2 linked regions of the Arabidopsis thaliana genome follow. The protein of the gene in region 2 interacts with the protein of the main gene of each other region in a pairwise test. Each region holds a gene or a part of one and is shown on either strand. Other genes may lie near its edges.

What was found.
Region 1: the proteins of CAND1 (region 2) and WRKY60 interact in binary tests that used the Arabidopsis thaliana proteins (3 or more experiments, as listed by UniProt).

Annotation. Positions count from the first base shown.
Region 1 is NC_003071.7:10,627,872-10,631,996, reverse strand, and holds WRKY60 (WRKY DNA-binding protein 60), read right to left. Parts: upstream 2,336-4,125; 5' UTR 2,186-2,335; coding exon 2,129-2,185; exon of another isoform or gene 2,035-2,128; coding exon 1,972-2,034; exon of another isoform or gene 1,768-1,971; coding exon 1,459-1,767; intron 1,376-1,458; coding exon 1,259-1,375; intron 1,172-1,258; coding exon 902-1,171; 3' UTR 584-901; downstream 1-583. Other genes in the region: AT2G25010 (Aminotransferase-like, plant mobile domain family protein), read right to left, coding at 1-146, 223-306; AT2G24990 (Serine/threonine-protein kinase Rio1), read right to left, coding at 3,698-4,081. UniProt on the Arabidopsis thaliana protein: Transcription factor. Interacts specifically with the W box (5'-(T)TGAC[CT]-3'), a frequently occurring elicitor-responsive cis-acting element.
Region 2 is NC_003071.7:687,815-692,796, reverse strand, and holds the start of CAND1 (cullin-associated and neddylation dissociated), read right to left. Parts: upstream 3,014-4,982; 5' UTR 2,862-3,013; intron 2,486-2,861; 5' UTR 2,453-2,485; coding exon 2,417-2,452; intron 2,335-2,416; coding exon 2,159-2,334; intron 2,059-2,158; coding exon 1,851-2,058; intron 1,562-1,850; coding exon 1,396-1,561; intron 1,118-1,395; coding exon 988-1,117; intron 803-987; coding exon 688-802; intron 476-687; coding exon 318-475; intron 231-317; coding exon 107-230; intron 1-106. Other genes in the region: AT2G02550 (PIN domain-like family protein), read right to left, coding at 4,033-4,200, 4,979-4,982. UniProt on the Arabidopsis thaliana protein: Key assembly factor of SCF (SKP1-CUL1-F-box protein) E3 ubiquitin ligase complexes that promotes the exchange of the substrate-recognition F-box subunit in SCF complexes, thereby playing a key role in the cellular repertoire of SCF complexes.

The sequences.
Region 1 (4,125 bases), 9.9 Mb from region 2:
GAGATCAGTGAATTGTTTAAACTCATTGGACCGATTTTGCGAAAGTAACCGAAACCAGCTTTGTCCACGAGGTTAATTTGTTCATCAGTGAGTTTCCATTGATGTAGCAATGAAGTGTGTTCTTGACAACGAAGTAGACCTCGTTCCTAAGGTAAGTAAGGGGAAATAAGATTAACCCTAAATTCAAAATCTGAAATTTAGCAAGGGAATTAAGAAAAAAACCTGTCCTTCCCAAACAGCAGAAGAAACATGGAGGTCTTGCTCGTATAGGACAGATGGATCAACTGGTCCGACATCAATATCCATGTCGATAACTTACTCAAAATCAGCGAAAACTAAGATTACATAAACAAATTTTTGTCAAATTCTCAAAACACGAAACTTTTGATTCTTCAATTTGGGACTAAACACAGATGAAGAAGAAGAAGAAGTTGGGATTGGAAGCTAACCGTAACCTAATTTGGACTCGGTTCATAATTTTTCTTCTTGGCTTTTTATAGCTGTACCGGTTATTTTGGTTTGGTTCTCTTAAACCGACTCTGTTTTTCGTGGTTTTACTCTGTTTCCGGGTTTCTCTGTTTCTTTTATGTCTGTAATGGCATCACATTCTTCTCTAATGGAAGTTAATACAAACAACTGAACAAGATAACATTGGAAGATACATAAACTGTCGAAGCAGCGTCAATCTACCATACTTACACCGAGCTATAACAAAACTCTTTCAACATAAGATAAAATGGGGGTGACCCTTTTTGGATACTTAGATTTGATGTAATTATATACACACACATTAAAATTGACATCTATGCCTCCTAATCAAGATCAAACAAATCTTTACCTTTTTACTAGGAATGAGCAACAAAATAGAACAAAACAGAAATATACATGTTCTAGAGAACTTTCATGTTCTTGAATGCTCTATCAATCTCCCGGAAATAGCAGTCGCAAGAGCTGCAGTGAACTTAGGATCTTTGGTCAACGAAGAAGCCATTTGTTGCACCAAAACCTCTTGAATCGTCCCTCTCTCTTTCTTTTCCTCAACTGGTTCAAGCCCACCTTGAACTAGATCAAGTTTCACTGTCCTGGACACACTTGCATGTGGTCCGGTGTGGTTATGTGTCCCTTCGTAAGTGGCTACCAAGAAAGATGGATCTTCTGCACTTCGTTGCACCTAAACAAGCGCACACACAACTAGGGAATTTAATCAGACAGCAAGATGATATCGAAGAACTCTTTAACAAAGTTTAAACCAAAGTACCTTCTTCTTGACTAGACAAGACGGTGAAAACGAGCATCTGAAGTAAGCTCTAGGAGATGGATTATCTCTCGTAATCTTTTGCCCGTATTTCCTCCATTGATATCCATCTTTCACAGTCTACAAGTAACGTATATCCACAAAACATTCGTTAACAAATCAATACACTCAAAGAACGATACTTGTAGTAGAAATCTCCTTACCAAGCTTGTGTCAGACTTCTCAGCAGCAAAGTAAGCGGTTGAAACCGTCGCTTTATCGTTGGTGATGTTCTCGATTGGTCCGAGACTGAGTCCAATTGGGGAGCTAACAAACTCATCAAGTTCTTGTTTTCGTTTCCCCGTTAGCTGTTTGTTCTGAAAGTTAACACTTTCAGGACTCTTTCGACTCTGCAACTCCTCCATAAGATTATTAAGAGCATAGTACTTCTCACAGACTCTTGCTAACATTTCGGTTAGCTTCTTGTTCTCCGAATTAACCCGGTTTATTTCATCTTGTAGCATATTTCTCTTCTGTGTAAAATGAAAATCACCATTACCAAACTAAGCTGTAAGACAAAGCTTTGATTTGTTCAACTTTTGAGCATCACCGATCTAAACAAACTATTCAATGTCTAAATCAGATATGAGAACTTGATCAACCTAATCCATTCACTCATAGTCAAAAATTTTGAGGTCAAAGTATTGCACACCAAAGTGTTCGATGAAAGAACTAACCTCATCTTTCACTAACCATTTCTTCTCTACAACTTTAGAAGCTGAAGCCGAGACTTCTCTTTTCTAAATCAGGCAATAAAATATATATGAACACCACGAATAATCACCACAACCTCGAAAATTGAAGTGAAATTTTCGAAGAAATTGAAAAACTCACCGGAAGTTTACCGGAGAAATGAAGGTCGAACGGATTGGTGTTGGGATCATAGTCCATAAATTTAGGTTCACAGGAGCCAATTTAATGTAACGTGAGATTATAGCGAAGACCAAATTCATAATTGCTAAGAGATTTGGTCTCCTTTGGTTTTATAGTAACTAGTAAGTGGAGAGAGTGTAATAACTTGTCAATTATGAGAAGGTTGACGATTTGGGTGGAAAATGAGGGTCTCCTTTCTAATTCTAAAAAAATTATTATAAATCTTTTACAATTCTTGTAAATTCTCATAAACTTTCTTTAAAACCTTTAAAAGTTTTTAAAACTCTTTGTAAAATCGTTTTAAAACTTTTATTAAATCTTTTAAAAACTTTTGTAAAATTTTTATAAAATCTTTTGTAAATCATTTTAAAAACATTTATAAAATCCTTGTGTGTAATTCTAATTGTGCCAAAATTATAATGTGTATTATGCATATGATAGTGATTGAACATAGAAACAAAAATATTGGAAAAAAACAATACTAATGAAATGTGTAAACAAAAATTGCAAGAAAACTATTTAATTTAATACGTATTGACAAAAAGCAAGTTGTGTTTAATACGTTGGATTAAATTTGTTGGCTTGCATCGTAAATACTAAATGCGTGTCCTAAAAAATTAAAAAGGTTAGGTGTTAAATCGTAGTCGAATTGTTATGTTTTGTTGTAATCGGAGAAAACAAGTGTAAAGATGGATCAAAAATCAACAATTTCGGCGGATGTCCCATGTCGAAGAAAAATGAGTACTTTACATTAAGTTGCATTGTAAGATCCAGACCAACTTTCGCTTGACTTGACCCATTGACTATGCCCTGGAGGTTGGCATGTTTAATTTTGTCTCATATTTTTGTTTACTTAATCCTACCTACATTTAGTTGCATTAGTTAATTATGTCAGCTAGGCAAAATAAGATTTCGTTTCCCTTTTTTTTATGTTCATTAAGTTTGAAAGAAAATCATTATTTTTTGTTTTGTCATCTTTTTTATTAATATTATAAAATAAAAATATATTTTCCGATCTTACAAAACCGGCAGAAAACAAAGATATCTTCGAAAACATAGTTTAAAAGAGATAATCAAAGCTCCAAAAGAAAGAGAAAACACGTATTAAGATATAAACTATGGAAACAGAGGCTTAAGAAGAAAAGCTCATAAACACTAAACTGTATAAAATCAAGAACTCATTAAACAAAGAAAAAATGTTGTAAATAAACTAGTTGCAGGATTAGAATTTTCATACTATAAGCCAACAATCTCAAAACTTGAGTTGATAAATTTAGACACAACCATTATTCGAATTGTCAAGTTGGTTAGGGATGTGAGGAAAGGAACAGAAATTTGAATCCTATTCTTGAAACAGCAGCAAACCAATTTCGGGCTCTATAATAAAGTCATACTATGAATATTACAAGAACTTGCTATTTTTGGAAATATAGAGAGCTTTGGGTCCATACTCGATTTCCCAGAATTTGACACAAAATTTCAAAATATAAATAAAAATACAAGTTGGGGTGTCAAAACTTCTAACTCGGATTAACGAGTCTTGTGTGGTTTAGAGACTTTCTTCTTTCGCTTCTTGACAGATTTGGGTGTCTTCGTCTTCCTAGACTCTCGTTTCTCCTCTTTCACTTTCTTCTTGTGCTCTTTCCTTGCAGCTTTCTTGTCTTCATGACCCAATTCTTCTTCACTCTCTTCTTCCTCACTTCCTTCTTCACTTTCTCCGTCTTCTTCTTCCTCTCCTTCCTCTTCTTTCTCTTCATCATTCACCTCTATTTTCTGCTCTTCTATTTTAGGAAGAGCATCCTTAAGCCCCGTTATCGTTTGGTATAGCATGTCTCCTGTGTCCTGCCCGCTTGTTATCTTAGCCACGTCAGCCTCAGGGTTGTTCACAGCATCCAGAGATTTCGGTATGTATGACTGAACATCAATAACAAACCAGTAAGATTAAGATTATTCTACAG
Region 2 (4,982 bases):
ATATTTAATCAAACACAGGTAAAAGAATGAAAAACTCTTGTGTAAGGGAATCTTGTACACTCCCGTCATGAAAGATAATACGCTTGATCATTTAAAAAAGATATACCTCTTGATATACTTTAGTGAGCATCTCAGAACGCGAAACGATTAATCCTGCTAGGCATTTGGCCGCTGCTCTCCTAACTTTCCAGCTGGCATCTTCATCATCTGTGTACTCATTTGCACTCTCGCTGTGAGAAAGAAAGACTTATTTCAGTGAGATAATGGTGCACCGTAAGGAGCTAGGCTACTGTTCCAATGAATAAATCAGAACTTACTCATCTTCTTCATCTTCAAGAGTCTCATTATCAGTATCTTCCTCCATATTGTCCGTAAAATTCGGGTCATAACTAATATATTCTAAAGTAAGATTTAAAATTTCATCACAATATGGTGAGATGTCCCTGGGACATCGTAGCAAGAAACTTTCAAGTGCCTGCAGTCAAATTTCAGAACAGACATGTTATCGTCTACATTGTTCATACCAATTTTATTGAACCTAAGATTAGAATTCCAATTTAATAGCATAGGAAAGAAAAGAGACTACAAGCACGCCTAAGTAATTGTCTGATTACAAAAATTAGATGAGAAAACAAAAAATGCAAGCGTAGTGAGAAAGTAGGAACATTAGGGAATCTTGCACGATACCTGTAAGCTATACTCGCGAAGCTCCTCGTCATTTTCTGAAGCGCTAGTGCAGTAATTGATTAATACTGGCACAGTGTTACCTAGATGAGTGCCAAACCGGTAACCAACAGCACGGCTGAAACAAAAACGCATTAAATAGCATTACAACCATGGCAAGCCTAGTCGTAGATAACCATTCATCCCAATCAATAAATAGGTAGCACAAGTACAACTAACCGAAGCATACTACAACACTACAGTAACGTATGGTAAGAAGTTAAAGATATATAACAAGCCGATAAGAAGGAAGATAGGAAGTACCATAAAGCTCCAATCATTTGAATATTGGTACGTGTAATCTCCGATTTTGCATTCCTGTTACTTAGATTTTTCACAACTTCAACAGTCGCCTTCGCGAGCAAATCATCAGACAGACTGGAAGCAAGAGAAGCTGACACCACACAAAATTTTGAACTTAGAAGAGGCTATATACCATCGAATTAAGAGTTCTATATACGACTAGGAAAAAAATGACATTGAATATATCATTTGAACTAGCATCGGTTTCACAAGAATTGACGCAAACAGCTGAAAACCATATTTCTAATATAGATAAGGAAAGCTACCACTCAAGTCTCGGCAGATTAAAGTTGGTTTCAAATTAGCTAAATATTGACATTAGTACCGACAGTACCCAGCAATCATATTGACTCAATTTTATGAACTTACCAATGCATGTAACAGTCTTCTTCCTGACTGTGGCTTGGTTACAGCCCAATTGCAATAACAATGTATTCAATAGCTTCTCGTGATCATCCGTCATTAAACTTCCATATTTTTGAACAACATCACACATGATCTCAAGACATTCACACTTGATCCCTGAGCTCATTCCCTTCAGCAGTAAATACGCAGAAAATTAGTTACTTGTAAAATAAGATGATAGAACCTTAGAGTAGACAAATAATTATATGCATATACTGTGCTCTGGTCTACTAAGAGTTTTTCAGACAGAGTTCTTTAACTGTATTAGATCCAATAAAACTTAAAACGTAAAATCAACTAATTTTCCAATAGATGTCAATCAATATGATTTTGATGGGATCCGAAATTGTCTAGGACGACCCTAAGCACTGTCGCATATGCAATCGAAATAATAAGGAATAGACCTCCCAACAACTAACCTGGCCACTTATTCCTCCTATCATTTGTGGTGTTAGAGTAACAAGAATAGATGGAGCAAGCGTAGGAGCAATTTGAGCGACAACAGTCCTGAGAGCTATGCTTGCGGTATCACGATGCTGGTCTTTCCCATGCAGCAGTTTATCACATAACTTGTTGGTCATTTCAACAATTCGTTCTTCTCCAACCTTCTTCACCAATGGAGCAAGACTGGAACAAAATCATAACATCAAAGGTCGACGATAGATCAGCTAAATGTAAAAGTATAACATCAGCTTAGGTCATAAGTTGCTAAGAGCAGAAAGCTAACCATTTAACAGCCAATCCAGAAACATCACCAGCCACATCATCGAGCTGTTGCAATATGATACTCGACAATCTCACCTCCAAGTCCAGGTCGATTTTAAAGGAATCCTTATTCAACTCATTAAGCAAATCAGAGGTTGCCATGTATCTGTAATCTTTATCTTTACCCGTCATCTGAAACTATAGTAAATACAGCAATGAGAAAAGGTGACTATACTCAAAAACAAAATTAAGCTTAATTAGAAACAGATGATGAAAAGACCTTTTCGAGTATCCCAGAAACTTGTAAGTTCGCCATATTGGCCCGACCTTCTCAATTCACTCCTTCCAACTGCAATCAAACAAGGATCTCAAAATTCATTACTTAGTAAAAAGAGAATCAACCATGCGTTGAACTAAAACGCTTAGTCAGAGCAATGTCACTCTATCAAGCTCTCCACAGAGGTTAAAACATCAGAAACAAAGTCAGAAGTGTAAAGAAGAAGCATCGAAGATGGATTAATTATCGCCGGTAACAAAACCTAATTAATATCCCTTAGAAAACTTTTGATTCATCGAAGATCACAAAGAAGAAGTTCGGTTTGATAAATCAAAGTATCGTCGCCACCAAAACCCTAAGACTACGACTACGAAGACGAAAAGAGTTAACGCTAGACATCATCACACTTTATCGATCAAAAAGCAAAAAAGAGGTAACCCTAAGTAACCTGAGAAGATGAAATCGACGGAGGTAACGCCGGAGACGGAGTAGAACGCCGAGAGTTCCGATTTGGTGGTGGTGGAAGTTGCGGAGAGGAGAGAGCTCTGAGGAAAGTAAAAAAAGATGGAGGAGATACTGTAAATTTCCGTACTCGTGAAAGCTTGATTTTTAGCCCTTCTCTCTTCTTAAGGAGGAAGTTAACTTTCTTCTAAATGGGCCTGTGTAGGATTAATTGGGCCTGACTTGGTGCGATTTGAGTCGGTTAATGGGTAGCGTTTATTTCATGCTGTACATTGTTGGACTTGATTAGTCGGTTAATACTAAATGGGTTTGGCCCAATTACTTTGTTTTCAGTCTGAGCCCAAGCATGGGTTTCTTTGTTTGATCCAAGTAGTTCTTTTTTTGTTTGCTTTTTTTGTGTCAGGGACATGCTATGCGATTGCGACCAACCAACTAAATAGTGTTAGCCATTGGTTCATCGACAATTTATGGTCAATATTTTTGAACGATTAGCAAGTAAAAAATTGTATCACTGAAAGTTTTCAACCTAGGCCAAGTATATGTGGTTTAGTGGTAGGGGAAGCTTTGGGAAGGATGAAACTCTTAGACCCGAGTTCGATTCTCCTTGAAAGTTGGTAAGTGTATAAGTTGGGTCTTGGTTTAATTGGTTTACTTGGTAATTAGAAATGTAGGCGGCCGCCTGACTACCCCCTGGCATTAGTCAGAAAGCATTTCAAACTCGTGACAGACAGACAGTATGGTGGTTTTTCGGGAAGAAGTCCACTCGAAAACATTTCGGTGTGTTTTTACTAGGGCTAACCAGATCAGCCGATAAGGTTTATAAGAAAAAAAAAAAATTGAATCAAAATCATTTGTTAAATGTTCCCGACCCAACGACTACCAAATAAACATGATTTCATTGTCGATAGTCATCGCTAACGATTATAAAGTTAACAAAATATAACTGATTGTCATTGTTGCTAACGACTAAAAAAAACTAAAACCGTAAAATATGGTATAGATGTGAGATTTTTTGTCGAAATTAGACTTCCTTTATTTTGAACTAGAACTTCGAAATTCAAATTATTAGATACTTTTGTCTAAGTAGTTTCTTCGTCATCTGTTTCTTCCACTTCCACGTGTGTAAATTTTTCGTGGGTTTCAGGATTAAGTCTTCCTTATGCTATTTCCTTAGTCTTAGTTGTTGACAAATATGTGCCCGTAGAATCTTCATACTTTCGAATGACAAATTCATCGCCAGACTCACGGTCACGCAAGAATGGAAGGTTAGACACCTCAGGCACATTCAAGTGTTGAAGCTCTTCAATTACTTGATTATAGACATACTAATATTTGAAAAGCAACAAAATTATGAATTTTTTCAGATGAGAAGTTAGGTCAGTGCTGTCCTCTAGTAGTTCCTCTATTACCTGAAAGAAAATGAATAACACACATCATGTCATCATACATGCAAATACAAAATCTAAATGTATAGTATACTACTATTTTGAACTAAACCAAGTAAAAAGTACCTCTCTACCACGTATAGTTTTAGTACCAATTATTTCATATGCTCTTTCGGATCCCTCCGTTAATGGCCATTTAAAATAGTCACAATCGCAAAGAATGCACATCTCCAGAAAATTATCGTCTGTGAATTCTGAAAAATCGTAAGATTTTGCTTCTTCTTTAGTTTCTTTTTCGTTGTCTTTATTTTTCTTGCTACTATGAAACCGCTTCAATAAGTCTATCATTTCGAGTTCAAGCAATTCAAAGTCTTTACTGGCGAAAATAATTTGTGATCACACAAAAGTTTAAAGTGGTAGTAAAAATTAATGTTATGTCTACATGAGAAAAACCTTTAAAATAATAATAATTGATAAGTGTATTAAAGAACTTACTCTTCAACATCTAAATGGTATGAGGTCAGTGTTAATAGTGAGAACCGCATAAACGCTTTTATCTTTATTATTAGCCAAATATACAAGCTGTGAGCAGCAACGATAAACTCAATATTCGGATACTTTTTTTTTTTAAACCTTCAATGGGAGAAAAAAGAAAGGTTAATAAAAAATTAGAAAGAAGTGAAAATTCTTAAAAATAATTATTTACCGTAAATGTTACCTCA